Linked DNA regions of Canis lupus familiaris. The protein of the gene in region 2 interacts with the protein of the main gene of each other region in a biochemical or structural test. Links are inferred from orthologs where the notes say so. Each region holds a gene or a part of one and is shown on either strand. Other genes may lie near its edges.

The links. The genes of interacting proteins can lie anywhere in the genome.
Region 1: the proteins of RP2 (region 2) and ARL3 form a complex in vitro, tested with the Homo sapiens proteins (2 studies listed by BioGRID). The link is inferred for Canis lupus familiaris from reciprocal best matches to the Homo sapiens genes RP2 and ARL3.

The regions. Positions count from the first base shown.
Region 1 is NC_049249.1:15,351,591-15,355,107, forward strand, and holds part of ARL3 (ADP-ribosylation factor-like protein 3), read right to left. Parts: intron 2,244-3,517; coding exon 2,193-2,243; intron 685-2,192; coding exon 499-684; intron 1-498. UniProt on the Homo sapiens protein: Small GTP-binding protein which cycles between an inactive GDP-bound and an active GTP-bound form, and the rate of cycling is regulated by guanine nucleotide exchange factors (GEF) and GTPase-activating proteins (GAP).
Region 2 is NC_049260.1:40,692,503-40,696,019, forward strand, and holds part of RP2 (protein XRP2), read left to right. Parts: intron 1-1,631; coding exon 1,632-2,297; intron 2,298-3,517. UniProt on the Homo sapiens protein: Acts as a GTPase-activating protein (GAP) involved in trafficking between the Golgi and the ciliary membrane.

The DNA.
Region 1 (3,517 bases), on a different chromosome or scaffold from region 2:
CCTGTGGGAAACCAACCTGAAGTAGCAGGAGAGACACCAGCCCTGAGGGCAGTGGAGTTAGCCAAGAGAAAAATCAAAACCCTTCTAGGGTAACTGGTATGCATGATTGTTGATGGCTGTTACCTTGGGAGCACAAGCATTTAGCATCCATAATATTAGACACAACACAAAACCCCCAACCCAATGATCAAAGAATCCTAGTTAGAAAGCATCTTCGAAGATCTTCTGTTCTGACCTCCTACCCAATGGGGTAGTTTGTCCCTCAAGTGGGGTGGTTTATCTATGGCTTTCCTGCAACAGTTAATGATTATCAGATTGGTTGCTAAGTAAAAAAGAACCGAACTCCTCCATGCCCTTCACATCCTGGAGTGGTTCATCTGCCAATCAAAGGCTATTTGTTTTATATCTTCTTTCTATCTAGCTCAGTTCAACCAATAAGACAGACTACGTTGGTTGGGCACCATGTTGCCAGGTAACCGAGCCTTCTGGTAATCTCACCTGAACGCCCTCTCCTGTGAGAGCTGAGCAGGACTGGATCTGCCAGACACGGTCGCGGATGGTGTGCAGGTTCAGTCCTTCTGCAATTTCAGAGGCAGGGGCTGCCGTGAGCAAATCCTGCTTGTTAGCAAAGATGAGCACTGGCACACAACTTAGTTTTTCTTCCTCCAGTAATTCAGCTAGTTCCTGGATCATTTTGGGAATGGATGGGAAGGGAAGGATGAAATCTATGATATTTAACCATGTACTTTTAATTAGAAAAACAAAAAACAAAAAACAGAAGTGTTAAGTTAATCAACTAACAACTTCCAAGGGCAATGGTTCTCAAACTTGAGCCTATGGAAGAATTTCCCGGCAGATTCCTGGGCCCATCCCAGAGATGCTGACTTTGGAAAGTCTGAGATAGGACCTAAGAATCTGCATTTCCACAGGTGGCTCTGCTATGGATTCAGAGATCATTGAGAAACACTGGTCAAAGGAGAAAACAAGTTGTAGATAGATATTTAAAATTTAGGATTGCTATCTACAAATGACTTTCAATGCACACACACATTTTTAAACTAGAAATGACAATGACTTTAGAGTTTATAATTCTGCTTCATTAATCTTACTTTCAAAGCAAGAATGCATGTGCACTGCACTTCATCAAACTCACATCCTAGAATAATTATCTTAGTCCACCTGGCAGTATGTCTGATATTTTGGTTATTGGTTGGGGTCTTAATTGTATGTTGATTCTGTCTGCAATAAGCATAGGAGATGGTGTGTATTTACCTGAAAGGACCTACCTCTTCCCTATTAAACTCTCATTTTAGCTACTTAGGACACTTGGGCTGTCAAAGGGAATTGGATAGTTCAAGAGACAGATCATTTTATAACTTTTTTACCTCTAAGGTCATGTTTAGCATTGATTCACATGAGTGATGATATAGAAATCATCAAGGTATGGAAAAGAGTTCCCAAACTAATTTTTAGGAAAAAGGAACATAAACACGGGGAATGCTACTTTTGGAAGGCCACCTGTGATAGTTTAGGATATAGGCCAAGGACTCTGCACACTTTCCTAAAGAGGTCATTCTACTCTTTGCTTCTTATCAGTATACTCCATCTGGGTAAAATGGTCTATGCCCACTGCTTCTCTATTTAAAATTGTGTACACAAATCTCACCATGTAATCATGTTGACATGTACTTTGCATTTTAAGGCACATTTGGGTTCAAAGTATATCTACCTCTTGATTGGAAACAAGAGGAGCTTAGTCTTGGCTTACATATTTCTTCCCATCCCTTCACAAATTTGTCAGAGGTACCCTTGGATCAATTAAGCTGGTATTGAAAAATGTACGTAGAAATGACAAGTGAATTGTTCCTCTGGGTTCATTTCTAAGTGGCCTGGGAATAACCCTGAAGAGCTTTTGGGCATGGGGGTAAGTTCCATTTATTTCTATTGTATTTATTTAATTTGACTAAAACTAAAAGGCTATCATTAAAAAATAGTTTAAGGGACTTTCAACTAATTTCCTTTCACGCAACTTTTTTTTGGTAACTGGTATTTTTGCTTGCTTGCCAGAATGACTGCGTTGTTTAAACTGCAAAGGTTAAACAAAAAATACCTCCCTCGCTCTCATACGTTTACAAGGTAGATTAATGAATACCTAGTTATTTGGAAAATATCTCAACAGAAGAATTATTTACCTGACCCGTCTCTTCAAATCTTTTTCTGTCTGCACTGTCAATGACATATATCTGTGAAGTAAAAGAAGGTTACTTCAATAAGCAGAAATGGAAAAAGACAGGGTACCTTCTGGAGAAGGAGCAGAGGATCCTCAGTCAGATTTCTCATTACCACAGCAAACGGAAACTGGCTGAAAAGTCTTACCTCATCTATGGATGCCAAATAAACTAATTAATTAATTAACTGATTGATTAAATACGGATACCCAGAAAATATGCCAAACAAAGCTTCAAAGTAGATGTCAGGAGAGCCAAGCAGGATAAAAATAGGTACATTTATTATACATTCACTAAAAATTCTTGTTTAGATTTACCCTATCAATCCTTGTTACAATTCTATGAGATAGATTTCATTATCTTCCCATTTTATATGTAGATAAACAAAAGCCTAAAGAAGTTAAGTATTATGCCCAAGTCCTTTTTTTTTTAAAGATTTATTTATTTATTTATTTATTTATTTATTTATTTATTTATTTATTTATTCATTCATGAGAGACCCACATAGAGAGAGAGAAGCAGAGACACAGGCAGAAGGAGAAGCAGGCTTCATGCAGGGAGCCCTATGCAGGACTGGGTCTCCAGGATCACGCCCCGGGCCAAAGGTGGCACTAAACTGCTGAGCCACCCAGGCTGCCCAATGCCCAAGTTCTAACAAGACTGGAATTTAAACTCAGGCCCACCTGACAGTAAAGTCCACATTGTCAGGAAGGGATAGTTTTTTGAGGCATTTACAAATACCACAGTCCTGGAACATCATGGCTCTGAAAGTACATTCTGCAGTCTTAACTATACACTGATTTCAGGTGCCAAGGGAGGAGACCCACTGATCTCCATTTCATTCCCACCTTCTCAGGCTTGCTGAGAGGTTAAGATCAAGTATTGGGAATAGAAAGGGCATAGGCTTTGCCAGACCTAAGAGAAGTCTTAAGAGTCACCGTAAATTATAAATCTCAAGCTTTATCTCCCATCACTGAATTTTATTAATTGCGTAAATAACAATAAGGGAAATGAAAGAAGACCAAAAGAGAAAAATTATCTATAGTTATAGAACCCAAATACATTTATTATTTTAATTTCTTGTGAAAGTTCCCTTCTAGTTTTTCTTCATAATTAAAAAAGAAAATTATAGATATAATTTTGTTGGCCTTTTAAAAATATTATTTATTGGGATCCCTGGGTGGCGCAGCGGTTTGGTGCCTGCCTTTGGCCCAGGGCGCGATCCTGGTAGACCCGGGATCGAATCCCACGTCGGGCTCCCAGTGTATGGAGCCTGCTTCTCCCTCTGC
Region 2 (3,517 bases):
TTTTTGTGTGTGTGTGTGTGTTTTTGTTATTTTTTTTTGTTTTTTGTTTTTTTGTTAATGAAGTCTTACACCCCTACCTCCCCTATCCCAGATGTCCCTCATCTGTGTTTCCAGAATATTCTAGGCATCTTGCATTGCACAACCAAGTTGTTTTTAAATCATCTGTTTAGGTTAGTGTTTACTTTTTTATAGGAAGAGCTGGTCATACTCATGTTAGTGCCTAAAAGGATACCTGGCTCATATTGAGTGTTCAAATTTTGGTTGAATGACTGATGAGCTGGAAAGTTAAAGTGCCTTTTCCAAGATCATGTTGCTCATAGATGACAAAATTAAGATTGGGAAACAAAGTGCCTCTTTTATTGCCTCGTGTTACAGATCAGTACTCCTTCTAGTACATTATGTAAAAGTAGATAAGAACAACACTTACTGTGCAATACTGAATAAGTCACTTTTAGCTTGGTAATGATTGAGATGATTAAATTATCCTTTGTGAATCATCAAAATTTTACCTACTGTATGGGAGTCTGTTTCTGGTTACATCGATAGTTTTGCATGAAATTTAATATTTGCAAAGAGGTAAAACAGTGCAAGTGGACTCAAAAGTAATTTAGAAAAATCAAAATGGCCTTTTGTGACTCTTAGAGGTCAGTAGAATTTTTAAATATATACTGTGACAAATTCCAGGCATACTGAATAAAAGGTTGTGTGTGCTTTAGTTTAGAATATCAAAAGATAGGAATGGTGGCGTTTCAAGAATTTCCATTGTAGGAAAGACTCAATAAATATTTGAATCTAACTTGCAGATGGAAGTTATGCCATATAGTGATTTTTGTACCTTCAGGTTCTTCCATTTTCTGTAGCATATTACAGAAATCAGTCAGAGTTTAGAAACTAAGACCTATGTGTCAGTTTATTGAAAAATAGAGAAATATATTTCAATGGGAGTGTATTTCCAATTTCAGAAGTTTTTTAAGAAGCAGTTGTTTTAAATCTTCACTCATGGAATATAAGAAACAACACAAATGAACAAACAAAAAAGACAGGCAAAAGACCAGACTCTTAAATATAGAGAATAAACTGGAGGTTACCAAAGGGGAAGTGGTTGAGGGGGGTGAAATAGGTGATGGGGATTGAAGAGTGCACTTGTGATGAGCACCAGGTGATGCATGGGATTGTTGAATCACTGTATTGTACACCTGAAACTAATAACACTGTCTTTTAATTATACTTGAATAAAAAAAATCAAAAAGTGAAGCATCAGAAAAAGAAAAAGGGTCAGAGCTGAAATATTCCTCAGTATCATCCAAAATGCTGTGTGTGTGAGAATTTCCTCAGTCATTTCAAAAAAGTCTCTATAGTTGATATGTTGAAACAGGATCCAAACAATATCCATTGTTTGGTTGGTATGTCCTGAGTCTCTTTATAACAGTCTCCTCTCCCTTTGTTCCCCTCATGCCTTTTAATATTGGAAAAAATAATTTGTGCTGTTCATTTTCTTAATATGTTGCAAAGTCGGTGAAAGTAGGAACTTATTTTAGCACCAGAAGTTGTGCCTGGCACCTAGTAGACACTTGACTAATATTTGTTGAATAATGTTAGTAATACTCAAGACCCATATTTTGTCCTTGCAGGTTGATCCAAAAGACTATATGTTCAGTGGACTGAAGGATGAAACAGTGGGTCGCCTACCTGGCCAAGTGGCAGGACAACAGTTTCTCATTCAGGACTGTGAGAACTGTAACATCTACATTTTTGATCACTCTGCTACCATCACTATCGACGACTGTACTAACTGTGTAATTTTCCTGGGACCTGTGAAAGGCAGTGTGTTTTTCCGGAATTGCAGAGATTGCAAGTGCACATTAGCCTGCCAACAGTTTCGTGTGAGGGACTGTAGAAAGCTGGAAGTCTTTTTGTGCTGTGCCACTCAACCCATTATTGAGTCTTCCACAAACATCAAGTTTGGCTGTTTCCAATGGTACTACCCTGAATTAGCATTCCAGTTCAAAGATGCGGCATTAAGTATCTTCAATAATACTTGGAGCAACATTCATGACTTTACACCTGTGTCAGGAGAACTCAACTGGAGTCTTCTTCCAGAAGATACTGTAGTTCAAGACCATGTTCCCCTACCTACCACTGAAGAGCTCAAAGCTGTCCGCGTTTCCACAGAAGCCAATAGAAGTATCGTTCCAGTATCTCGGGGTCAGAGACAGAAGAGCAGTGATGAATCATGCTTAGTGGTATTATTTGCTGGTGATTATACTATCGCAAATGCCAGAAAACTAATTGATGAGGTAAGGAGAGAGAGAGGAAAAACAGACACATACCTAGGTAGAAACACACCACACTTCCTGGAGAACTTCCATTCTTTTCAAACTGGCTATTAGAAATGCAGGCAATCCTTAAGTTATAGTCCTCTGCCCCCTGCAGATTTATCTATAAGCTGATTGCTTAGGCCTCAAAAGACTTTTCAAAGAAACTTTAAAAAATATCATTCAATTCAGTAAGCATTTATTAAACATTTACTATGTGAAGAGTTATTTCTATTACCCTATTTCATTGATTATAGAATGTACATTTGTTCTCCACATTTTTGCTTATCCAAAATGCATCTTACGGGATCCCTGGGTGGCGCAGCGGTTTGGCGCCTGCCTTTGGCCCAGGGCGCGATCCTGGAGACCCGGGATCGAATCCCACATCAGGCTCCCGGTACATGGAGCCTGCTTCTCCCTCTGCCTGTGTCTCTGCCTCTCTCTCTCTCTCTGTGACTATCATAAATAAAAAAAATAAAAAAAAAATTAAAAAACAAAATGCATCTTACAATTGATGGCAACTTAAAACTGATCAACTAGAGTATATGCTGGAGATGGAGACACATAAGCAAAATTCTCTACCCTCAGATAATTTCCATTCTTTATAATAAATGATTTCCATGGAAGTTTACAAAGGTAGTACTGCATACTAAAGCACAATCTTATTTAGTTGGGAATATTTATTTGGGTTTTAATTGGTTGGAGGGGGGAGTAAGAAAGACATTTAGGAGAACAACTTTTGGCCACTGGGGTGACTATGAGAACCACCTTGATATTTTTTCTTTGCCCTGTTGCTATGCAAAGGGGAGGTTGGTGTGTAAGAAGGAGGTGGGAGCTGGGTTAGGAAAGGTTGTGGGCTCAGGAGCAGGGACTCAGTGAGTTTGGGAAAAGAGTTCTTCTATTGGTAGCAGCTTTCACTTGAAAAATAACCTGGGGATGTAGAGATTAGGGGCTGCAGAAGCAGCAGTTCCTAGTGTTGGTGGGTGTGCTCCAGTGGGGAGGTAGCAGTGGCATGTATTGATTACCCCGTTAGTCAGATGTTCCTCAGAAGGAGTCCTCAAATTTAAAAATCAAAGTTCCAAAAATGAAGAAGTGAATGGGGAATTCATCAAGTCTCCTTTTTTTAATGGATTTTTTCAAAATTGTAACAGTTCTGTTGAAGATTATGGAGGGGGAAAAAACTAAATGACCTTCTCTCTGTA